Xenopus tropicalis: one gene and its partners. The protein of the gene in region 1 binds, or shares a complex with, the protein of each later gene. Links are inferred from orthologs where the notes say so. Each region holds a gene or a part of one and is shown in the gene's direction. Other genes may lie near its edges.

Region 1 (3,500 bases):
CTGCAGTTTTTTAAATATCCAGTATTAGTGTAATTTTATTAAATCTTTGTCAAGCTTTTCACAGTACAGCTCTTTCTAACGCTAACATTTATCAGAGCTCTTGTGCTAATATTCACAAAGTCACCCTAAAGTGTTTTTTTTATTTTATGTCACCAGTAAGAGAGCTGTGTATTTACATATCAGTGCTTTCTACACAATAAACCTGCTTGGGGGGCATGATAAAGGACAATTTTAAGAAACTTCACCAGCTTTCCTTCTGCATCTGACCAGTGCTCAGTATACAGTAAGGAATAACCATTTTTTGCTTAATAAACACAATGGTATAGGAGCCACTGTATAGTGTGAACCTAGAAAACTAACTTAACTCCCCCTTTATGCCAACTATTTAATTTAGATTTTATCCAGTAGCTGACAAATAGGTTATTATTTGCAGTGCTTCATTCATTTATATTTCTCTCTCTCTCTCATAACTAAAGCTAAACCAGTGGTTGTTAATGCAACGCCTGTGAGGATGTCTGTTCCCATTATTCCAGCACAGACTGTCAAACAAGTAAGTCTAAACTTCATATTCAGATAGATGGTGAGTATTCAGAAAATTGTTTGTTTTATTATTTTGTGCTTGAATAATCTTTGATTTCAGCTTTTTTTCCCCCATAAAAAACTTTTTACTATTAAAGAGTTTTTGCTTTAACCTAGACACATGTTTAACATTAATGTATGTATGTTTATTTATGGTTATGTGCATTCAAGTTCATTACCTTTTTAGGTTGTTCCCAAGCCATTAAATGCAGCTTCCCAGATTGTCACAACAAGCCAGCCACAGCAGCGGCTTCTTATGCCAGCTACGCCACTTGCACAAATACAGCCCAGCCTTACGAACCTTCCAGCAGGCACTGTGTTAGCCTCTGCACCAGGGACTGGAAATGTAGGTTATGCTGTCCTACCTGCTCAGTATGTCACTCAGGTGAGTAAATTAATGTTACGGAATTAAGACACTGTCTGTCAATTGAGTTTTATAATCAATTATCCTGTAATGTATTGTTCAATTTATATGGTGACTTAGGGGCAGATTTATCAAAACACGAATTCGAATCATGAATGGAAAAATTCGGATTGGAAACGAAAATTTCTGAAGATTGCAAATATCCCGAAAATGCTTACGAAAAAATCGTATTACTCACGATAATATCGTATTGGCGATCCGAAAGTCACAAAATTTTCGTAACGACTATTGTAAACAGCGGCAGAGCCTTTCCAAAATTTTTCGAGCAAAAAAATCGGCAAGAATACGCTCGGAGCGTTCGTGTCTTGGTGAATCTTCCCCTTAGACTTAGGCCCATAAGGAACCAAACTTTTAGACTGCTGCAGTCCTTTTATTGGGTTCTTCCTTTATAGTTGATTGTAAAAAGTTGATCAATGATAAACCTTTCCCTTAATTATCACATGGGGACACTGACACCCTAAATGGCAACCATTTAGCCAAATTTATTGTCATGCTCTTCAAAGACAATACTGGAACACATTTCAAACCCAGTACTGTGAGGTTGTTCCAGTATGGTTTTAAATGCAGTAGTCAGACAAATACTTGATTTTGGGGGTTACAATGTATGTGATTTACTTACACCTATCACCCTATCACTTTATTCACCTTCCAAACACTTTTTTTTACTATTGTTTTTAGATAGTACACCAGAAAAGTTTTTTCAAGTGCTATATATAAATTTATTTTTTTTTACCTTTTCTTAGTTTCATTTTTTTTTTTACCTTCCTGTGTCACCCTAGAGTAGCTCTGGGAGGGGAAAACTTACTGTAAATTGTTATTTGATACATTAGTTGATACATATGTTCTCTTTGGAATTGCTGAGTAGTCAGCTGATAAATAATCTATACATACTTTGCTAATGTTCCAGGAATGATACTGAGTAGTAGCCTCAGAGAGCAGTAGGTTTTTTTTTTTTTGTTTTTTTTTACCCCAATTTGAAGACTAGACGGAAGGTAGATGATTAATAAACACCAAAATAAAATGAGGACCAAGTGACATTGTTTGTATTTTTAATTTAAAAAATAGTAGTACAGGTATGAAATCCATTAGCCGGAATCCCCTTTTCCCCCAAAAAGCCATGTCCAATAGACACTATTTTAATCAAATGACATTTTTGAAAATGACTTTCTCTGTAATAATAAGATAGTACCTAGTCCTTGACCCTAACTAAGATATATGAAGGCTAAACAATCCTGTTGGGTTTATTTATTTTTTGTAGACAAAGTATAGATCCTTATTACGAAAAGACTCCTTATCTGAGAAACCCCAGGTCCTGAGCATTTTGGATAACCGGTCCCATACCTGTATTTGAAATTAATATAGTCTGCTCTGTATAAACATACTCTAACCTACTTCTTTTGTTAGTTTTGAGGTAAGGAGCAGTTCATTATAAAGAATAGTGAGGGCTTTTAGTGGAAATTTTTACCACTTTTATTGTAACAACAAATAACTGAAACCATTAAAAACGTAGGCATAAATTATGTTCTGCACTAGAACTAGTCTTAAGAGATTTTGCCCTTTTGTCTGGTCGCAAACTTATTTTGCCTTTTTGCTGCCATACAGGAAATAGGCTTTAGGAAAAGGAATTTGGGACACTGTAGTTAGCTTCCAGTGCTATATGAATTGTACTGTTTTCTTTTCCAATTGCAAACAAATCCATGGCACTCTATCCTATTTTAAAGGGAAAATGTATTTACCATCAATTCTAATTATATAATTCCTGTTGTATAACACTCTTTGCACTGTCTGTTCTTCTTGGATGTTGTCATCTCCTACCATTCTAAAGCTCTGGCTTCTAGTTTGCTCCTGTGAACTGGTACAAATCAATCAAGTTGTACATGGGCTGGAAAAGGGGAAGCTAATATCCAGAGTTGCAGGAGGGCAAAATGCTGATTGAATGAAGGGCCACCATCAGAAATTTGGGCCCCTTAAAAGTTTTGTCTTCCCCCATGTACACAAACACTTAAATAAGTAATGTAAGTTTCTAGGCAAGTTACACAAAAAAAAAAAAAAAAACACATACAAGAGTATTGTAGAAATGATACCTATTGTTAGCCAACATAGGTATCATTTCTACAATACTCTTGTATTTGTTTTTTTTTATTAGGTAAGTTACACAAATAAACTACAGTTAAATTCCTTAGAAAAAGTAACACTTCAAAAACTACAAATATAAAGAATGTGGTCTTGGAATACCACGTTCTACATAATACTAAATGTAAATTCTAATGTGAAATAACACTTTAAGAAACACTAACCTAGATGCACATTGGATTGATGGGGCATGAGACAGTAAATTGTATGTGGTTCTACATTTCTAAAATTAAGGTTTTTGGTTTTGGCTCTATTGTTGCAGATCATTTTCTTTATTCCTTCAAATTGTGCTTTTTCAGTTGCAGCAGTCCTCGTATGTTTCTATAGCAAGCAATGCAGGGTTATCAGGAACAACAGCTGCTCA
Region 2 (4,256 bases), on another chromosome or scaffold:
AGGCATCATCACCCATAAAGGTAGCCCTAGATCATGGGTGTCAAACTCAATCACATAAGGGGCCGAAATCTAAAACACAGGCCAAGTTGAGGGTCAACCATGCCTGACCGTGCAGCACCACTGGGACTGGAGCAGTGATGTCAGGTGATAGGTGCTGCATGTTCAGACACAGTCACCATCGGCCACATAAAACAGCCAGGCGGGCTGGATTCGGCCCGCGGGCCTTGTGTTTCACACATGCCCTAGATAATCAACAGTTTATCCATTCCTATGCTAATATATAGCACAAAGCAGGCATTAGCTGCCAACAATGCCCACATAACCTACTGCTGGCAATCAGTGTGCAAGTCCATATAGGTATTTTTCTGAAGTATACCTTCTTATTAGGATCTCAGCATAAGCTGCATAGCACTGAACATTATTAAGCACCCACTGGGAATATCTGATATATCGCCTTATATACATGGGAGTGTTCATGTGCAATGATATGCAGCCCAACAAAGCACCAAATTTTGCAAAGTAAATTATCCAAAACTTAACAAAGGAGTATATCAGATTAATATTAATCAATAGGAATACCAGATCAATCCTCACACTATTTGGTTCACTACTTGAATCTTAGTTTCCTTCCAAGACTTTTGGCAAGGCCTGGGCTGGGCATACCAATACACGAACTATGAAGGCCTCTAGAGAAAGGGCAGTGACCCATCCTCTCCGGTGCAAAATTCTAATGCAGGGGCCCAATTTACTACCCCCAACACTGAGTCACTACCGACCATCAGTCTCTTAATCCCAGCCTCCTTTATCCGCGCATATCAACGTAGCCCTGCTTGTAAAATAGCACCTTCATAATATAGTTTCATTCGTCTATTGGGAACACCCATTTATTTTGGGTACCTGGGGATATTCTCTCCCCCACTCACTCATGTCAATGTACTAGCCCACACTCACCCTCACTATTCCTCTGATCCGCATCATGCTTCCTTCAGAATCCCTGAGCTTCTCAGAGACTGAATGACAAGAAGCCACACCTCTACCCCGCCATTGGCTGATGATGCCACGGCCCCTTAAAAAGTGTTTCCTATTGGCCTGCCAGAAATAGTGACCGATTGTGCGCTAACTCAAGGTTTGACCGACTGGTGCCCTACTATGTGTGCCTTGATTGGCTCATATTTGTCACGTGATGACTCTTGGATCTTCACCGCTATTTGCCATTTTTACGATCGACAAAATGTGTAGGAACATGACGCCTTCTTGGTGTCTGGAAAGTGATGTAGCAAAAAGGCAGTGCATCGCACCATGCCTTAATGGTTAAAACATTATTGTACAAGTTAACTTTAGTCTTTAAAAAATAGACGTTTGTGTAAGCTATGGGTGGGTGCAGCAATATGGCGCTTAAGTATAGAGCGTCAAATTGGGTGTACCAAGATGGAATGTTTAAGTCTATTTCTGTCACGTGACAAGTGAGAAAATGGCGGCAGTTACGGATGGTAAGCGGTTGTTTTTAATTTGTAGGTACACTAATGGGCTTAGAGGAAAGTATTCTACATATATGTATCCGATAATTGCTTCTAGCAGCAGGGTAAAGCCGATGTGTGTTCCCGCTGCGCATGGTTACTCTGTCGAGAAAGTACTGGGAGTTTATCATTAAACCTTGAAAATAACAGTGAATGCATTGCGATGTTCTGTGCTGCTCTGGTGATCCCTAGCCATGTCAATAATTAGCCGCAGACAATGAACTGATCCTTCTTTTACTTTTCACATGTAATAAGGCTTCCTATTGACATCAGGTGGAAAGTGTACAAGCCTTCGGCTTCGTCTAGTTTGTAGGAAGGTGTACTTGCACAATTTGGGATGTTGCCAATGTACAGACATTAACCTAAATACTACTACTCATAGACGAATGTAGCATAGTGCACATGCGTAAAGCTGTTAGATCCTAGTGTGGATATAGCTCAGTGATCAAGCTACTAAAGGCAATTAAAGAAAAGAGTGCTTTATTTTAGCTAAACATTATCATAATCACAAACCTAATGTCCCAAAATTATATACGAGATATTCACGCTCATGAAAAAAGTATTATACAGTCTAGCCTAATCCTAATGACCCAAAGTATACTACGTAAACCCAAACTCTTCCTATCAACATACATGTAAAAAATTTGTGTAAAAGCTTTGTGAGTTGAACCCAGAACCCTAACACAGAAGGGCAAGAATTCCGACCACTTTACCACAATGCTACTTGGTTACTCTAGTGTGTGAAAATGTATTCTTGTGAATACACCTTGCCAACAAGAAAAGTTAAAATCTAGCTTGTTTTGTATGAATAGCCTAGATCCTTTTGGTGTAATGTCCTTTTGGTGTAATGCCCAAACAGCCCCCACCTGGCTAATAAATGTCTGGCATCTAACAGCAGCCCATCTGGCATTCCCCTGGATCCACAGATAGCCAGTCTATACCTACAGGTGGGAGTGACTTGAAAATGGTAACAGAAAAAAAGATACAGTAAGAGCAGAAGAAGTAAAACCTTGCAGAAATAAACTCTCCTGCATACAGGTTTAGGAAGAGTGAGGTACTTTATAACAGAACCCTACCAAAATAAGATTTTTTTTATCTTTTAAAAGAATAGCAAGAGTATATGTCCTCTTTATTTTACTTCGTTTGAGCAAAGGTCTATACTGTTTTTGTTACCTCAAATCTATGTGCTGAGATCTTTGTGGGGTATGAGTGAGAGTTTACTTGCAATAGTTAATGGATAACGCTCAATTTAACTTGTTTTTTTCCCTTTGAACGCATTCACAGCTATAGTTTACAAGGGGAATTATACCAGTTTTAACCTGTTGTGTGGCTTTTACGTATTTTTTTTCTCAAATTATACTCTGCAAGTAGTAAGCATGGTTTGCAAGCATGATACCTTCTTAAAACACAATGCTAGCAAAATTCACTGGGGTTGCCAAGTTGTCAGCCACCCCCCATGATTGTAATCATCAACAAGAGAAGTTGTTCACATTGTGCACAGTACAAAACTCACTGAACAATTACTGGACTCTGCTTACCCAGGGCAATAGAGGAGCTTTGGAAAGAGCAGGGAAAAATGGTTATGGCACACTCTGCAGAAAAAATGCAAGCTTTGGGTCTCTGCTCTGTAAATATAATCATGGGGGGATGACTAACAAATTGGAGCCTGCCAATGATTTTAGCTTTTATCATCCTTTAATGAGTGAAATTCATAGAGATTTTCATTTGTACTAATGGATTTGTTCATATGACCCAAACACTTTATTTACTTAGCTGTTAGTACATGCTTTTACATATCACACTGGATGGTTTGTAGCCTAGATCCAACTTTTAAATGGAAAAGAGCTCTGTTTAAAGATGCACTTAATCACAGGCAAGTCTAAAGACTGGAATTCTCCACATTCTGAATTACATCAAATTGACTTTGGTTGCAGCTAAAAGAGTTATATTTAAATAGTGGATTGAGTCCTCCCCTCCCTCATTCACTGACATTTAAGCAGAACTAAATCTTTGTAAAAATGAAACTATTCATTTCAGATTCGATAGCTTGAAAACACCATTTAAAATTTACATCAAAATGGAAAATATTTGCAAAGCTTGGAAAATAAGGAAAGAGATAAGATACATGACATCCTTTATCATTAAAATGGATTCCTACTATACGTAATCCTAGCCATGAAAATAATACTTGGCACAAATTTTTTCTTGAACTCTAGTAACTTTAATATATTAAATATTATTACAATTAGTTTTATGTAAGATTGTAATTGTTTACTTTTCAATGCTTACCTTTTATGATCTCTCTATTTTGAATGAGATTCCACGTTCACCTGTATGTTTTCTTGAATACTAATACAATGATTAAAACAAAAAAATGAACTTTACACTTTTTTCAACACAAGCAAGATAAATAGAATGTATGTATAATATAGTATACTTATGTATTATTATTTAGTTTTTACTTTATCTACCTATTTTAACCGCTATCAACTGAGTTTAAATAGGGCCAATAAGCTTTGTATAAACAAACACCATACTATTTATTGATCTGATTTTGAGCTAGAGGTGACACTGCCCCTTTAAAACCAGTGGGAAGTAAGTAGCTAAGGTCACAAAGTCACAAGATTTCACTTAGTTGACTATTCAAAAATAGTTTTGGCATTTAAAGGAACAGTAACACCAAAAAATGAAAGTGTTTTAAAGTAATTGAAATATAACATACTGTGGCCCTGCACTGGT
Region 3 (2,838 bases), on another chromosome or scaffold:
AGGCATAGTTTCTTTTATGTTTTCCTAAAAGATTTTTTTGTTAAAATCCCATTAAAAGAAGCAAAAAAAAAAAAAGCATTGTGCCATGATTTATCTAAAGGCATGGCTTTTAAGCATAAACCAGTGTGCCGTTTGTATGTGTCCATATAAGTATTAGCTTGCAGTAAGTACATTTTCACAGAATAATGTAAGGATCTAATGTCTGCTATGGTGTGCCCTTACTCTCAAGTATCTGTGCTCTGTGGTGCTAAGGCTACTGCCATATACAGCAGTTTCTCAGCATGCATATAAGCACAGGCACAGAAACAGTCCCTCCGCTCTCTGCAGACACACTGCAGTTTGTTTATCAACTCTGGGCACTGAAACCTATAGCAGTCAGTTATTGGCTTTTTTTTAGCCAGCTGCAGGTAGAACAATGAATGCAGCAGTTTGATTGGTTGCCATAGGTTACTGCCCACAAGCAAATTTGCCCAGTGGTGAAATGACCCCCAGCGTATTTTAGTGCAGAAACGCATCACTATGCATTTACTGCCTAATCAGCTTCTTGTGTTTGCACCCAGGCCAAAAGTATTGTCTGCAGCTGCAAACACACTATAGAGCAGATTGGAGCCAAGAGGCTGTAAATGCAGGCCGGACAGCTAAATAATGGATGACCACTGCAGAGCTGATAGCAAACATGCTGCAATAAAACTTGAACTTTTGCTTAAAGTAAAGATTTATTATACATATTATATAAATAAGCAGTTCTTCTAGTCAAATAATTAACGTTTTTGGTGTAATTGGCTCTTTAAATTGCATATTCTAAGAGCCGTGGCAGATGGGGAGATTAGTCGCGGGCAACTAATCTCCCAGATATGCCATCTCCACTGACTTGAATGTAAATCACCAGTGGGATGGCATACGTGACGCCGCGGGCGACTAATCTCCCTGTCTGCCATGGCACTTAGGGGCAGGTTTATCAAAATGTGAGATTAAAGTTTACCACTGAAAAAATTACTGTGATTTTTAAAAGTGTGTTTATCAGTGAATGAATAGAAAGTGAATGAGTTTTTTCTGTGGTAAACTCACATTTTGATAAACTTGCCCCTTAGGGGCAGATTTATCAAATCACGAGTTCGAATCCCAAATGGGAAAAATTCGGATTGGAAACGAAAATTTCTGAAGATCGCAAATATCACGAAAATGCTTACGAAAAAATTGTATTAGTCACGATAATTTCGTATTGGTCACAAAATGTGCGTACCGTACAATTTTAAACAGCGGTAAAACCTTTCCAGTTTTTTCGTGCAAGCGTATGGGGAAAAGTCGTGCGGCGTACGACAAAATCGTGCGGACGCCCAAAAAATTCAGCGAAAAAACGCTCTGAGCGTTCATGCCTTTGTTAATGTGCCCCTTAGTGTTGGTATGTAGAATGATGTTGGTTGTATAGGTATAGATTTGTATTAAGATACAGTCTCTCTATATAAATCATATCAGAAGCACTTATGACTGATACCACTGCTGGCCCTGTATGTGGGCACCTGCTTATGCTTGAAAATACTCATGATTTTTTTTTTTTTTTCAGTTTTTGCTCCTCTGCTCAGACTTTCTCCTCCTCCTGGTGATCACGACTATGTCTATAATTTAGATGAAAGTGAAGGAGTTTGTGACCTCTTTGATGTACCCATCAACCTCTGATATTTTGAACTCGGCTTTGGGCCTTATTTGTGAATAAGAACTTTTTTGTTGTCTTTTATGAAGAAATGTTTCTATTTTTGGATATCCGCGTGAGTTGTTACGGAAACCATACCAGAGACATTGCAGTGCAAAAAGACACTTAACTCCTCTCACTGTGAGAATCCGCTCATAACTTTTCCATCCCTGTGATGAGAGGACTGCTTGGCAAACCCTTCATAGAGGTTGTCTGTATTGATCCAGCTTTATTAAGTCCATTACTACATCTGACAGAAGCTTTTCACAAATTTCAAGCACTTAACATTTTTGCTGAAGTACATAATATTTGGATTTTTGGCTGAGTGTGCCTCAGTATTTGGGCTTAGAAGTTCTTAAGTCTGTCCAATAATATAGTAGGTGTGCAGTACCATCCTCCATAAACAAATGGTTTTCCATGCAGTAACCGTAAAAAATAAGCTTGGTTGTCTTTTATTATGCTCTGACCTCACTCACTGCCAAATCGCTGCCAGTCACTGTCTAGCTAATTTACCTAAATGAAAGAAGATGTTGATATGAAATTATTTTTCTACATACATTTGCTGCGCCACATGAACTATTTGTAATTTTTGTTTTCTACAAAATAAACCCGTATTTGCCAGTAGCACTTTAGGGATGTAAAAACAAACACCCAGAGCAGCTGTGTGACTTTGTTGGGGTGAAAGTGGTGAGATTCAATACAAAAGCTGTGCAGTCCATTTTAGTCCAAATGATACACAATGATTGCTGGCACTGGAGTTGTATGGAATTGAATTATATTATAAACTTGTGCTTTAGAAAGAATATTATAGTGTAAAGAGTTACCTATTTATAGTCACTTCTATGACCGAATATACGTTAAGATTGGCATTTTCCTTTGCACATAGCTTTCATATATTTGTAATATGTTAGGTGACATGGTACCATGGAGATATGTTGTTTCTCCCAGACAGAGATCTCCTTGTTTTTAATACCAGTGCTGCTCCACCTGGATCTCAGTCCAACGTTTAAGTAGAATATTAGGACTTAGTCTATGTTGATTTAAATTGATTTTATTTAATATACTGCAAATATATAATATATATAATGTAATTCCAGTGTCAGTAATCAAGGTAAGGAATATACTTTCTGCAAAAGGAGTTCCTTGGC
Region 4 (4,209 bases), on another chromosome or scaffold:
CCTTCTGCTGGCAAGCAGATAAACCAACAAGGGAGGGGTATGACTAGCTTAACCCTTTTCCTGCCATTCAAAAAATCTTTGTGCCTGGGAAACACAATTACATTTTAACTCTTTAACCTCCTTGTATAAAGGTTGATTTTTTGATTTTTAAAGTGAGGTCAGGAGCTGTAATGTAAAAAAGTATTCCCCTGATTGTATCATAATGTAAGCATGGCTACTAACCAGAGATCAAGTCCCATTGGCATTAATATCTTGTGGGAAACCTTAACCTACAGTTCTCCTAAATATTTTTCAGTGAGGAGTGATTAATTAGCCTATTTCTCTGCAACTTTAATTTTAAATGTGTCATTATCATGTAGAAGAGGCAAGGTGTCCACTCAAGCCTGATAAAATTTGCACAAGGCAGACTGGTCCCATAGAGAAACATTGAAATAAACCATGGCAATATCCTCTGCCTCAGGCATGACAAGAGAATGTTAATCTGCTCATTGACACTCTTAATCTTTTATAGGTCATGTAGAGCTAATCCCCACCTGAAAGGCACAACCCTGAATCACCCCTTGGGGTTTTAAGCAATTCTGAAAAAAACGTTGGTGAAAAATACATTTCAAGACTATTACATTACATCTGTCATGAACTGAAGGCAAAGTAACCAATTATATACATGTTACTTTATGCACATTATTTTGTGTACCCTTAGTTATTCAGCAACAGGTGGGTAGGTTGATAGGCCAGCAGTTCATTTGTACATAGGCCTACCATAGTTGATCTGCCTCTATCAAGGCCCAAGCATTACCCTTTTGGATATTTAATGGTCTCCCTCCATTCTTTACATTCTAGTAGGTGATTTCACACAAAGCATAGAGATTTTTGGGGCAATCAAAGCACCATTTAGGTGTCTGCGGTCCAATGAGTCACATATGATCTTACTGTGTGATCTTCTGTCCTTAGTATGGTGTGTGTCTGTTCAAAATCAATAAACATGGTGCTTCCAATAAGCAAGGAAGTAATGATCTGCCCATACATAAAGCTATATGGCCATACAGTGCTGCTTATTAATGAAACAGAAAGTCATCTTTATTTTTCCTTCTAAAGTTTGCTTCTGAAATTATCTGAAATAAGCCAGCATCCCTCCTTGCCCAGTACATTGCCTGGATAATCACAATCATTAATGCTCAATTTATCCCACTAGGACAGCAGAAAACCCAGAGATTTATTTTCCTCCTGCTGAAAGGCACAGCCTATCAAATCACACTAACCGTAAACATTGTCTATCAGCCTCGCCAGTTTCCCTAAACTACAATTCCCAGCATGCCGGGGTAACCTTCTAAAGATTGTGGCTAATAAACTGCGCCGGGACTTCTGCCGTTTAAAAGTCCATGACGTAAGTGAAGCAGCCGATGCCTGAGAATTCCTAGCAACCTTCAGCCTGCCCAGGAGATAACATGCCAATTGTTTTGATTGTGCCTGGCTAGGTCTGATCGCGGATGTGCGCGGTGGATGCGCTCGACGCTCGGTTGCTCATGCCTGCCTCATTTTCAAGTTTTCAGGCAATGGTAACAAAGAGTGGCTCTAGTAGTGAGCTGGGAATAGTGAGCCAGTCGTGTCCTGTGTTGAGGTAGGTCCCTTGCATAAGGGTCACCCCTTCTATCCTCCCACTTACCTGATCCCCCCTAAGACTGGGATATATGCTGATCCCCAGGCTCTCATGGTCCCACACAATGCACTAATTTCCTGCAGCATGCTCTGCCTGGGGGGGAGGGTAGTCCCTGCTGACTTATTGGATAATATTCCTCATATTTACTTGCTTTTGCACTCTGATTTCTGGGCTTGTACTCAGGACTGCTTGGAGCTGTGGGGAGATGTAGCAGGATGACAGATTTTCATATACACCATTGTTTTAACTCTTACAACTAAGTAACCCTTCCAAGTGCATCAGGCTATATTGTATTTATATATGAATTATACCTATATATATATATGTGTGTGTTTGCCATGCTTAGTCACTGTTTGATTCCATGGTGGGTTTAGCAATAATAGAAATATTAAAAAATAACTTGCTCCTATTTATATGTACAATATATGCCCCACTTGAAGTTCCTATGCATAGACACTGAGCACAATGTTTGGGGGAAAATCCTTGAATTTTGTGCTGCTGCAAGTTATTGTAGTTATACAGTGCAGGTATATGCAATATGGGGCCCACCAGCTGTTGGGGAAACTAAAGCCCCTGCATTCCATGGAAGTCAGAGGATATTAGGGGATGCAGGGTTTTGTAGTCACACATCAGCATATTGGGAATTTCTGATCAATGGAGCATGCAACAATTTTCATGGGTAATCTTTGCTTTTCTGATGGAGTTTGTTATTGTGATGGGCCTGTGGTTAGAATGCTGAGTTCTGATTATTAGTGCGTAGTAGTGTATATAGTGTGTAGTAGTGCACATGTGCAGTTGGAGTGAACAAGTGGAGCCTTGTGTCTGTTCTGGAAACTCAAGCATCCCTGCTCTCTTGCTAATTGTACTTTCCTGTGCAGCAGGATAAGGGTGGGTGTGAGTGAGGGAGAATGTGCACTGCTGTTCTCTGGGACCTTTAATGCACAATGTATACAAACAGAAGGGGATTCTGGTTATTTTTTAGCTTTTTAAGGAACCTTGATTTATCATAGTCCTCCATTTTGTGTCACACCATTTTGGTGTGAAACTTTTACCATGGTCAGAGAAGCCATTTAGTTTTAACTGGTAGTAAAAGTGTGTGTGTGTGTGTGTGTGTGGGGGGGGGGGGGGGGGGGGGGGGGGGTTAGGGCTCCCATTTGTTCTATAGAGCCAGCTTCCTGGGTCAGACAGCCTCCTGGGGCCACATGCTGCTCAGTGGGACAGTCACTATGAAAAGCCCTAAGTGTCAGCTGTATGCTAATGAAGGCGAGAGCATTGTCTGCTGCTGCTGCTGCTGCTGCAGGGAGGAGACATTCCTCTGGGCTGCCTGATCAGTCCCACTCATATCAGTGACACATGCTGGCTGCTCCCAGTGCTGATTGGGTAAGGCCTGGCCTACATGTGCAGCCTGGGAGAGGAAAGTGCAGCACAGAGTACAATGCTGCAGTAGGAAGTTTGGTTATGGTAGTAACAATTAAGGCTAAGCACAGGACTGATTGGGCTGCATGACCCACGTGGGAAATGGATGATGCACAGTATTGTGTAGGGGTCACTGTAGAAAGATGCATATGGCACAAATGTACATTAGGCATATCTAAGCTGTGGCCCTCCTATTGTTGCACTAAAACCCCCACAACACCAGCTACATTGGTAGGATGCCAGGAATTGCTGTTAATAACAGCTAGAAGGCTGCAGATTGGAAATGCTTTTGCTTTAGGTTTGTTCCACAATATATTATGTTGGGAAGGGGGCAGAGTGAAAGGTCCCTCAAGCCTTACCTTTAAAGGTCGTACTGAGTCACATTTAGGATATTTCCTATTTCGGAGTCAGTATCCTTTATACTTGAAGTGTTCATTGTATTTTGGAAATACTGGCAATCTTGACTTTATATTTCAGCTTGTCCTATGTTTGTTTGATGGCTTGTGGCGTGAGAACATTTCTAGAGTTGCTCCTACATTATTGGCTCCAAGCATTTCCTAATTCCCTGTATTATTTACACCAATTAGGAGGCCCTTATTGAATCAGATTTGGTTTATTTATACACGAGTTGGAAGTAAGGATGTCTAATACGCTATGGGAATCTTAATATTTTGTACTCTTTGGCAGTATTTAAGAATGTTTATGCTTTGTTAGGCCCCAAGCAATGCTGATAATATATTGCATGGTGAAAGGGGGCAACGTTTCTGTCTTGGCCCCTTTCTTTGCTTTCTGTTCTTTTTTTCATATCTGTTCTGTACAGCAGTATCCCTTGGCTTTGCATGTGGGATTGTGTGTAATTCTTTGTGGTAGGGGGATTCTGGCAGTTCAGCCCCAGCTAAATGTCTGAGTTTTGGTGGGCCAGGGGCCAATCTGTCCACAAAGTTACCCTTTAAAACGTACACTCTTTTAGTTAGAACTAGGAGCTAGTTCTTTGCTTACCTGCCAGATCTACCAGTGTAGATACTCCAGTACTATATGCTATGGATTCTTTTTCATATAAGAGCAATGTATTTTAACTGTAAAGTTCTTAAGGTTTAAGCTACAGGAGTTGTAACTAAAATGTTCCCAAGCTTTCT
Region 5 (3,936 bases), on another chromosome or scaffold:
GACACACCACCAACTTGATTCCCTTTGTGCAGCCACTTACCTTCCCTGATAGATTTCCTCTAAATGATTTATTCTGGCTTCCAGGCAAGTAGCCTTTTATATAGTGTTTTAGGAGGTTAAGTAGCCAATCAATCTCGCCTTGTGACCCCACCCATTATCCAATTATCCCATTCCTCACTTGTAGTTGTTAGGCCAGACCAGCTCATAGGGATGCTGGATACTGAGGAATGTGAGAGCCATGTTTCAAGGGAATGTTAACTGTTACATTAAATTTGTATTTGTTATAGAGACATCCCTGCTGTACCCCCATAACGTCTTCCTAACCTAACACCTCTCCATTTATCTTCACTGTCTACTTTATAACCTTCCTCCATCTCAGTTATGGTTTCCCCCAGTCTTCTCTCTCATATAGAAGTTCCATTTTGCTCCCCCTGTTCCCAGTTGCAGAGGGTGGAAGGGAAAGTGATATAATTTCTGCCTTTACTGAGGGTTCTTTCCACTACTGGGCAGTCACTCCTAAGCCATGCTGCTCAGACTGGGTTCAGGAGAGGTTATATTTGAGCACATACCCCACCCCCCCTCAGCAATACCACTTGTAGCCAGCCAATGGCAGTCCTGTAGAAGTACCTAATAAACATTTCAGGTTTTTTTTGTTTTATTTATATTTCCATTCTATTTTTTTTCCAGCCTGCAATTGCTTAGTTGTCAAGGTTACCTAGGTAACTGAAAAACAGACTGACTGTGAAGGTTCCATTTCATTATTATTATTATACTTCTATGTTTGTTGCTAGGGAACTCCCATTCTAGTAACCAGGCAGCAGTTCAAATTTAATGTTCAAAAACCTATACACTCATAGCAAATCTGAGGTGGTGATGTCAGCGTAAACCCCACTTAAAATGCATGGCTTAACGCTACCGTCGCCAAAACTAAGAGGAAATGACTGTCTAGTCTGGAAATTTTTAGAATCCTCTGTCACTCGGGTTGTTACAAAACGTAATAGGCGCCAGAAGCTGTCCCTCATTTCTAGCTTTGATTGGTCGCCGGGAAATCGCTGACATCAGTGCGCTTGCTGTTCATTGGTTAAAACCGGACGCATGGCCCTCCCCACATATAGAAGTGACAGGCACCTAGAGCGCCTCCGTATGGGCTGTAGGCCCCGCCCAGGGAGTGGGTTCCGCCCCGGAAAGGGAGTTCTGTGGGTGCGTGCGCAGCTGGCGGGAGATAGGAAATAACAATACCGCCACAGACTGCGCACTGAAGTGTCCGGAGCGGCAGGATGTCCCGGCGGGCCCGCGGGTGAGCCTGGCACTAACGGGTGGGGCAGTGGGGCTGCACATACGGGCACAGCTACTACTTTAGAACCCGGCGGCCTTTTCTTACTACTTTTGAGTAGGTGCCAGTCACTGGGCGTCTGCTTTGCGCTTTCAGTTCTGCGCCTCCTCCCTGCCCTGTGTTATCGCCCTTACCCTGGCCTTGCCTCTGCCCTGGCCTTGCCTCTGCCCTGGCCTTGCCTCTGCCCTGGCCTTGCCTCTGCCCTGGCACCTGCCCTGGCCTTGCCCCTGCCCTGGCCTCTGCCCTGGCCTTGCCTCTGCCCTGGCCTTGCCTCTGCCCTGGCCTTGCCTCTGCCCTGGCCTTGCCTCTGCCCTGGCCTTGCCTCTGCCCTGGCCTTGCCGGGCTCTCACCTATTGGCCTTCTCTGGATTTACTAACTTCCCCCATTCTGGACTTTCCTGTCTAGTTGGGCTTCTCTGTCGGTTCCACATGCCTAAACTATAGCTAAACTATTCTACTGCTTCTCTCTCCACAGCTGGGCTCTTTGCTCTCTCCCCAGTCTCCCCTTCCCTCTACCCCCCAGCTCTCTCCCCAGTCTGCCCTTCCCTCTACCCCCCAGCTCTCTCCCCAGTCTCCCCTTCCCTCTACCCCCTCAGCTCTCTCCCCAGTCTGCCCTTCCCTCTACCCCCCAGCTCTCTCCCCAGTCTGCCCTTCCCTCTACCCCCCAGCTCTCTCCCCAGTCTGCCCTTCCCTCTACCCCCCAGCTCTCTCCCCAGTCTGCCCTTCCCTCTACCCCCCAGCTCTCTCCCCGGTCTCCCCTTCCCTGTACCCCCTCAGCTCTTTCCCCGGTCTCCCCTTCCCTGTACCCCCTCAGCTCTTTCCCCGGTCTCCCCTTCCCTCTACCCCCTCAGCTCTCTCCCCAGTCTGCCCTTCCCTCTACCCCCCAGCTCTCTCCCCAGTCTGCCCTTCCCTGTACTCCCCCAGCTGCCCATCACTGTCACCCCTCACCTCTCTCCCCAGCTGCCCATCACTGTTGCCCCCTCAGCTCTCTCCCCAGCTAGTATTGCCAACCCTTGTTTTTGTCTATTATCTTTCTAGCCTTCTCTTTACTTCCCTTGTTCTGTCTCCCCATAAGGACTTTCCATGTCCACCCCGAGTGGGCTTCCGTGCATTGCCCCATTGTCCGCTCTCCCCCACCCCCATTTGCACTTTCCTATGAAGCTTCCACTGTCCTCCCTCTGAGAGTTTTCCTTTGGCTTTCCATACACTTCAGGGCATGCATATCTGCCCTACTACCCCATATTTCTCTCCCTGTGCTTCCCACATTTCCCAGTACTTCTCAGACCTTCAGTAATGCTATGTTTGTGCACAGCTGGCCCCCAACGACCCCTTTTGTTTTGGCTTTTGTCTTATTGCGCCAGGAGGTTAACTTGTGACTCTCCAGCTGGGTTTGTCCCTGCTCTCTCAGTGCTCCATTCCAGCTGAGCGCCACGTTCTGCAGCCTCCCTGTGCTTGTTTGCCTGTCTCTGCTCCTCATTTATAACCCTTCTTAAAGAGAAAGAAGTTTTTGTCGGCCATATTTCCTTAGATTCTTAGTAATTTCTTTCTTGTATATCTAGGAACACTACACTTTTTGTGTAAAGGTGCCTCAGGATGTCATGCTGATTACAACTCCCTCCCCCACCTTCACACTTCTCCCCTTTGCAACCCACCTACATTGACTGCATTTACAGAAATATAATGCACTTATCAGACGCTTAAGTAAAACCCAAGGATGACTTCCCTAGTGCACAGTTTTCTCTTTTTTTTTTTTTTTTTTTTTTGTTCATGTTTCTGCCTGTAACCTTGTGTTCTGTCCCAGCTATGTGCCACATGTAGGATCCTTTGCTTTCCCAAGCTGAATTCCACCCCACCCCCCTTTCTAGTTGACCCAGCCCCTATGTGATATCTCCAAAAGCAAGCTGGAGAGGGGTTGCTGGAAAGTTCGACCTTCGCATTTGGAGTAGTGGCCACCCTCATGGCACCCTGGTTTTTTTTTTTTTTTTTTTTAATCCTTGTTTTGCTAGATTAACAGACACCCTATTCCCTGGGTGCTTTGAGTAATGCTGCCTCTTTCCATATGCTGAACCTGTGCTTATTTCTGGGACACTGTTGCATGTTGACTAAATACTAATAATAATTTTTTCTTTAACCCATACAGAGATGATCTTGAGGATTTGCAATATCAGGACACAGACTCTGATGTCCCGGAGCCAAAGGAAAGCAGGGTCAAAGTGAAGTGGACCCCAGAAGAGGTACAGTATGCAATTAGATGTATTGCTAGAGCAATACAATCCAGAGTCCTTATCTCTTGCCTAGGGCTGGATGAGAACCCTTCTGTCCCTCCAGTGCTGGTCTTTGGACTTCTTACTGTGACTGACATCTCTGTCATCCTCTGGGGGTCTTATATGTTGGTGATACTATTTACATAAAATAGTACAGGGATGTCACTCCCCAGTATTAGGTCATGCGTAAAAATTGCTCCCGTCCGTGTTTCCCCCAGTAAGGTATTAATTATTGTTTCCATTTTGTTCTGTTTCATTAGGATGAGACGCTAAAAGCCTTGGTGAAGAAGCATGGACAGAGTGAATGGAAGGTGATTGCCAGTAACCTTACTGTAAGTTC
Region 6 (4,070 bases), on another chromosome or scaffold:
TAAAATCCCATGACAGGCATGTACATACACTCAGGGCTGCCATCAGAAATCACGGGGCCCCCCTCCTCTCACGCCCTGCCCCCCAATGCTCCCTCCCATTAGTACAAAGGACACACAGACATTGGTAGCCAGGGCCCCCCTAAAACATTGGTAGCCAGGGCCCCCCTGCATCCTCCAGCTCACCCCCACATCATACTCCAGCTCCCCCCCAGAGTCCTTCCCAGCATCCTCCAGCTCCCCCCCCAAGCATCCTCCGGCTACCCCCAGCTCCCATCAGAATCCTCCAGCTCCCCCCCAGCAACTTCCTGTGGCTCCCCGCTGCATGTGCACAGCTCACCCCCATTGTCCTTCTGCTCCACCCCCAGTAACTTCCTCCAACTCGCCCCCAGCGACTTCCTCCAGCTCCCCCCCAGCAACTTCCTCTGGCTCCCCTCAGCTTTCCCCCACCGCAGCGACTTCCTCCAGCTCCCCCCCCCTCAGATAAGTGAAAAGTACTGAGTAGCAGATCTGGATTTATACAAAGGCCAGGGCCTAGGGCAACATGCAGACCAGCTGCTGCTTCTAAATTTGGACTGAAGGACTAGAGAAATGCCCCACGCACTGACTATAGAAGTGGGCATGCACATGACTGCAGAGACGGGGGTCTAGGGTGCACCCTCTTTGTAAATCCGGGCCTGTTGACTAGGGTTGCCACCTGTCCAGTGTTTTACCCGCCTTCCCAGTAATAAATTATGCTTGATGCCAACGTTATTAATAGAGAAAGACGAATATATGAATTCCTGTAATTTTTTTTACTTATTATGATCCCCATAGCATTTAAGATGTGAATGTTGGTAAAACATGTTATGTCCTAAATGCAAACATTGCATTGCATTTCTAAATTATTTTCTTTTTTATGAATCATACAAATTACTGGATATGTTCATAAAGGGCTGGGTCCCCCGTAATTGCCATTGATACTGTGACATTCCTTCAAGTCGATTTGTTCACTCATTTTGGACCCCCTGTGAAGTAAAGATGACACAGCCCATATAGGAAAACGTGAGTGTTAGTTTAGAAAGCGTAAAAGCAGGATGGCCTCCTCCTCCAAAGAAAGTATTTACATATAGGAACAGTGGGGCTTAGTTGAACTAAAACTTTCTTTTCAGGAAGGAACATAACGCACGCGTACTAACAGAATAGGGCGGCGGATGCTGCTATGTTGTTTATGAACAGAGTAAGAGACTAGCAGGAACTAGCAAGTATCTCAATCGGCAGCGATAAGGAAAGGAAAAGGCCGACCTCTGTGTTGTTTTGGGCGGGGCTACGCTACGCATTTTCCCCATCTATATTAGAAGAACAGTGTCCTACGCTAGTAGGCCTTTCTAATTGGTGACGAGAATATCAAAGCGTTGCTGTCAGTCATTGCCATTTAAATGGCTGCGCAGTGTGAGATGTGGAAGTGCACCGTTCGGGTGGCGGAGGGGACATAGCCGGGCAACTGGAAGGTCTGAGGATGATCAAGGAGGAAGAAGAAGAAGGGGAAGGCAAGCAGGCAGAAGAACAGCTGCGCTGCCGCTATGACGAACTCTGCAGCAGCCTTAATATGGATGAGAGGGCCCGGGGGGAGGCCTGGGAGTATTACAGTAGGATTAGCCAGAATTATACTCTAGAGGTGAGAAATTCTATTTTTTCATGGGCTTGATGAATGCCTGACCTGCGGCCCTCCTACTGCTGTTGGTGCTACTCTGCTCTCCCAGTCTCCGCTACAGGGCATGCTGGGTATGGTAGTACAGTAACAACTGGACTGGAAAAAAAACAAACAGCGTCGCTGCAAGCTTTGGCTTATTAGCAAATAACTGTAGTAGTGCGCTGTGGAGGTTTTTGCATCCCAGAAAATATTTTCATTGCTTTTTTTTAGTTTATTTCACATTATTTAGCATTTCACCTGGATGCCTATGCTGCATGTGTTACAGCTCCTTATCAGATACGGGAAGGGATGAAATGGACGTGGAGTGCAGTAGTCTGTCATAGCTATGACTTTATTCTGATCGCTAATAAGTACAAAACGGTAACAAAAAAGTGCCTTGCGGGGCAGGAGACAAGAAGGAACTGATTGCATGAGCTTACAATCTAAAGTAGGGATCCCCAACCTTTTTTACCTGTGTGCCACATTCAAATGGAAAAAGTGTTGGGGAGCAACACAAGCATGACGAAAGGTTCCTGGGGGTGCAAATAAGAGCTATGGTTGGCTACTTAATAGCCCCCTCTGTGGACTGGCAGCCTATAGGAGACTCTGTTTGGCATTATACTGGGTTTTTATGCAACCAAAACTTGCCTCCAAACCAGAAATACAAAAATGAGCACCTGCTTTGAGGCCACTGGGAGCAACATTCAAGGGGTTGGGTAGCAACATGTTGCGCACGAGCCACTGGTTGGGGATCACAGATCTAAAGGTTCAGGGAGGGACTGACACATGAGGCTGTTGGAGGATGTGTACAATAATTAACATCTTTCTGATTTTTTTTTTTGTGGAAGATAATTAAAAATGATTAACACGGTATTTACAGTAGTTGCACAACTCTGAATTTCTGTGTTTTATAAGCTGAGAAATCTGCCTAGTTATTTTCACATCCTTTTGACAAGCTATATGGAGTGCTTACTTACTGTATTCTCATCTAACTGAGCGTAGTGCAGATCATTATACCAGCTAACTTAAACTTGGAGTTATGCTACCTGTATATATATATATTAACATGCTGTATATTAGCAGCTTTGACTTGATGGCTGCTGTTTGTTTTGGTTGTGATGAGGAGCAGCTTAATGCAGTCTCCTTGGAGATATGTGGACCTTAGCAATTCAGCTGTTTAATTACTAGGGCTCTTGCAGACTGTGTTATTTATATTCTAACACTGTATCCAAGTAACTAAAGCAGAGAAGTGCTGTATATTCTTCCTTTTTTAAAAGAAATATGATACCTTGAAAATATTTTGTGTTAATCTGAACTAGGTATAGTTCAGATATAGTATAGTACTATTTTATGCAGATCTATAGTTCCCTCTTAATTCTTATGAGTTTGTTTTGTACATATCCCTCCTTTTGTGCGCCATCACCAATAAACCTACAAATTCAAATGTGGGATGGAATACTTTTTCACTAGTAAGTAACTGTAAATTAAACTTACCTGCAGCGCATCAGGGAAGGGAGACCGGAGGATTTGTGGCGCACCCTGCGGGGATCGGGTTGGGGCCGCAGGGGCTCACCAGGTTTGTTCCTGGTGCCCCGGCCGCCCAGTTCAACCCTAGATAAATCAATGGGTAGATTTTCATTAAGTCTAGGGAAGGCTAACCCTTTCCAAACCTGTCTGGCACCTAAATTAAAAAGTGGAAAGCTCTTTGCATTCCTGCAAGGTCCGATACCATTGTTACCAGCTGCACTCTGATTGGATTTTTTTGCTTGCAGCTTCTCCAATCAGAGGGCAGCTCTTTTTACAGACAGTACACTCTCTATCAATCAAATGGAAGGTGGGGATGGAGAGATTTCAGGAACTGAAGGTACTTGGAAGCATGGGTAGGCAGAAGAGGCACCTGCCTATGGCGCAACGGTGTGGCCGCGCCAGGCAGGTGGTATTTCTTTCACCAACCACTAGTTCCGGGCCCTTTCCCCCCCCTACTGTAGTACCCCCCCGCCAGTGGCCCCGGCAACCCCGCCACCCTGTGTGTGCACGCGCGCCCACGTGGGGGATAAGGCGGGCCAAGCCAACCAGGTTGCCCAGGGGACTCAGCACTGCTTGGAAATAAGGATTTACAAGAAACATATGTAAGGTTTTACGCTTTTCCTGCCAAGCATGTATGTGATACATGTTGCAGAAAAAGCCTTTGACTGCCAAGCATATATCACATACGTTCAAGGGCCCAAACCTCTAGGTAACGAGCCAAGTCAGTCTTGTGACGCGATTGTTGGAGGGCCCGACTTCTACCACCAGAAACGGTCGCACTCGTGTCTGCTGTTAGAGCTTCTTCCTACTACCTCCCTGAGTCCGCCCTGCAATCTAGGGACCCTCATCGTTTGAAAGGACCCTCCTCACTAAA
Region 7 (2,348 bases), on another chromosome or scaffold:
ACCTAGAAAAAAAGCAATAATAAAATTGTCTTGAGCTGTTTGGTTGCCAGGGTCAGTGACCTTGGCAACCAGCCATCCATCATCATAATGAAGTTACCTAAACTGATCTATCTTTAACATATTAAGTTATTGTGAAGGTGTCCTTTTCCTTTTTATAGCATGGGCCATACATTTGATGTGATTTTTTTCTTTTTAGATGGATGCTCCGCCTCTTTCGCCATTTCCCAGCATCAAGCAACAAGCTATTTCTCCCCGCCGAGTATCCCAGCAGCATTCTATCTATGTGTCTCCCCATAAGAACAGCGGCAGCCTGACTCCCCACACAGCCCTCCTGTACAAGTTTAATGGAAGTCCTTCAAAAGTAAGTTGTGCCCTTGCTGGGGACGTTTATATCCCGATTATAGTTATACAGTAGAATAAAGGGGAGCTTGATTGGTGGCATTGGTTGACATTAAAGGGACTCTGTACTTATTATATTCTGTTTATTGAAGAGCTTGCAGGACATAAACAGCATGCTGAAACAGGAGCAGAGGAGCCGGAAGCGGATCATTGCTATTGACAGCGACACGGAGTCCCCGGCAAAGCGGCTCTGCCAGGAAAATGATGATGCTCTGCTGAAACGCCTGCAGGATGTCGTGAGTGAGAGGGCCAACCATTAGCTGCAGTCTGGCCATTGGCATTCTGTGGTTCCGGCCCATTAAAAAGCTACATTTTAGGCAAGTCTCGGGTCAGTACCCTTCCAACTGGGCCCCCGAGTTCCATTAGGTGTTGGAGACTCTTCTTGCACGTATGATATTGTACACTGTTTGCTAGCTACTGTCTGCAATCTCAATCACTGCAGTTGGCCAAAAGCCTTAGCCACGTGGTCAGTCGTGATGGGACAACTGCCCTGCCGTTTCCATGGTTTTATCTATTTTTTTCTTAACATGATATTTTTAACCTATTGTGATAAAGGAAAGTCTATCGTTCCTCAGTTTTGCCTTTATATGAAACATATATGGCTTACTGAGTTCATCAGGGTTGAATGTTGTGAGCTGTAATAATACTGCCGGTGGAGGCGCCCCCTAGTGGACTGAATTCTATTTCATTACCTGCAGTAGCATTTTACTGATACAAAGCAAAGCTTCATGAGTACATTTTTTAACTATAGACTTTTAATTTTATGAACACTAGCTTTCAGCAGCGCAGCATACAGTTTTTATTGTTCCTTTTTAAGTGTTCTTTTTGCTCCAAAAGCATTAATGGAGATTCTTTTTATTGTAATGTATGAACTTACAGATTGAGTTCAATCAAGATCTGGCAACAAAATCTTGGATTTTCCAGCGTTGCGCTGTGTTTATACAGTCATTTTACGGACTCCAGGGAAAAGGAGTAGAAATATTTGGCAGTGCATTTTCTGTGCTGGGTTTTTCCTGCTCTATCTGCGTGCAGCCATTTTATCTTTTTATTCCTAGCGTAAAATGAAACCCTTTGATGTGAATCTTTGCTGTGCTTTTTTGAGCTGAATGAAATTGTGTAGCATCTACACCTTTTTATGGTTTGCTGGCACCTTTTTAAATCTCTGTACATAACGTTTTATTGTACATTACAATGTCACTTCCATTCAGATGAATCTTCTTGAAGCATCCTATTCACAATTCTGACTTTTACATTATATATGGTACACCAAATAAGAGAGGAGGAATGAAATCTATGCAGCCCCAGATCCTTGCAACAGACCAATGAAGCATCTGCCTGAAATGGAGCTGCAGGTGTACCACAATAGTGTAGGCTGAAGGTTATAGTATATAAATGTATATGTAATATGCCTATGTGTAAATATGTAAAATAAAAAGGTCCCTACTATTACTGGGTACTTGTACTGACTTCTTTTGGTGGGGCTGAAAGCCTAAACAGTTGGAATAACAAAGTGTGGAGGAGCTGTAACTACAATTCCTCATCTGCCTATTTGCCATACTCTGTTGCCCAGCTGATGAACCAATCAGTATCCATAATGGGGTGCAGGGGTCATGGACAGCCAATGTTAAACAGCCTGGGGACCCATTTTATGATCCCAACCTAAAGTTTAAGAATCCCTGGCCTGAGGGTGCACTCTCTATGGTGATTAGCAGCATCCAGCAAAATGAGAATTTCTACCGCAGTTTACAATGACTGCACACAAGGCTGCAGATGCGGACCCACCTTCCATCATTTTCTGAACAGCCCGCACCCGCAAACACAACTCCCGATCCTTCTAATGCTGGCCTGCTAGCTGCAATTAACGGGATCCACACTTTGGTCACCACGCAACTCAAAATGATCAAGGCAGACCTCTCCCTGCTGTGCCAGAACTTCCAAAACCTGCAGAG

Evidence for each region.
Region 2: lin54 (region 1) and lin52 share a complex: the UniProt entries of both Homo sapiens proteins name them as parts of the DREAM complex. The link is inferred for Xenopus tropicalis from reciprocal best matches to the Homo sapiens genes LIN54 and LIN52.
Region 3: lin54 (region 1) and e2f4 share a complex: the UniProt entries of both Homo sapiens proteins name them as parts of the DREAM complex. The link is inferred for Xenopus tropicalis from reciprocal best matches to the Homo sapiens genes LIN54 and E2F4.
Region 4: lin54 (region 1) and tfdp2 share a complex: the UniProt entries of both Homo sapiens proteins name them as parts of the DREAM complex. The link is inferred for Xenopus tropicalis from reciprocal best matches to the Homo sapiens genes LIN54 and TFDP2.
Region 5: lin54 (region 1) and mybl2 share a complex: the UniProt entries of both Homo sapiens proteins name them as parts of the DREAM complex. The link is inferred for Xenopus tropicalis from reciprocal best matches to the Homo sapiens genes LIN54 and MYBL2.
Region 6: lin54 (region 1) and rbl2 share a complex: the UniProt entries of both Homo sapiens proteins name them as parts of the DREAM complex. The link is inferred for Xenopus tropicalis from reciprocal best matches to the Homo sapiens genes LIN54 and RBL2.
Region 7: lin54 (region 1) and rbl1 share a complex: the UniProt entries of both Homo sapiens proteins name them as parts of the DREAM complex. The link is inferred for Xenopus tropicalis from reciprocal best matches to the Homo sapiens genes LIN54 and RBL1.

Annotation. Positions count from the first base shown.
Region 1 is NC_030677.2:85,303,912-85,307,411, forward strand, and holds part of lin54 (protein lin-54 homolog), read left to right. Parts: intron 1-476; coding exon 477-550; intron 551-766; coding exon 767-964; intron 965-3,435; coding exon 3,436-3,500. UniProt on the Homo sapiens protein: Component of the DREAM complex, a multiprotein complex that can both act as a transcription activator or repressor depending on the context. In G0 phase, the complex binds to more than 800 promoters and is required for repression of E2F target genes.
Region 2 is NC_030684.2:81,969,147-81,973,402, forward strand, and holds the start of lin52 (protein lin-52 homolog), read left to right. Parts: upstream 1-1,456; 5' UTR 1,457-1,471; coding exon 1,472-1,490; intron 1,491-4,256. Other genes in the region: aldh6a1 (methylmalonate-semialdehyde dehydrogenase [acylating], mitochondrial), read right to left, coding at 952-978.
Region 3 is NC_030680.2:76,512,126-76,514,963, reverse strand, and holds the end of e2f4 (transcription factor E2F4), read left to right. Parts: intron 1-1,564; coding exon 1,565-1,677; 3' UTR 1,678-2,338; downstream 2,339-2,838. UniProt on the Homo sapiens protein: Transcription activator that binds DNA cooperatively with DP proteins through the E2 recognition site, 5'-TTTC[CG]CGC-3' found in the promoter region of a number of genes whose products are involved in cell cycle regulation or in DNA replication.
Region 4 is NC_030681.2:129,561,309-129,565,517, reverse strand, and holds the start of tfdp2 (transcription factor Dp-2), read left to right. Parts: upstream 1-1,409; 5' UTR 1,410-1,618; intron 1,619-4,209. UniProt on the Homo sapiens protein: Can stimulate E2F-dependent transcription.
Region 5 is NC_030686.2:39,924,556-39,928,491, forward strand, and holds the start of mybl2 (myb-related protein B), read left to right. Parts: upstream 1-1,136; 5' UTR 1,137-1,277; coding exon 1,278-1,297; intron 1,298-3,472; coding exon 3,473-3,566; intron 3,567-3,856; coding exon 3,857-3,928; intron 3,929-3,936. UniProt on the Homo sapiens protein: Transcription factor involved in the regulation of cell survival, proliferation, and differentiation. Transactivates the expression of the CLU gene.
Region 6 is NC_030680.2:49,460,512-49,464,581, reverse strand, and holds the start of rbl2 (retinoblastoma-like protein 2), read left to right. Parts: upstream 1-1,270; 5' UTR 1,271-1,495; coding exon 1,496-1,654; intron 1,655-4,070. UniProt on the Homo sapiens protein: Key regulator of entry into cell division. Directly involved in heterochromatin formation by maintaining overall chromatin structure and, in particular, that of constitutive heterochromatin by stabilizing histone methylation.
Region 7 is NC_030686.2:42,375,740-42,378,087, forward strand, and holds the end of rbl1 (retinoblastoma-like protein 1), read left to right. Parts: intron 1-196; coding exon 197-361; intron 362-491; coding exon 492-659; 3' UTR 660-1,848; downstream 1,849-2,348. UniProt on the Homo sapiens protein: Key regulator of entry into cell division. Directly involved in heterochromatin formation by maintaining overall chromatin structure and, in particular, that of constitutive heterochromatin by stabilizing histone methylation.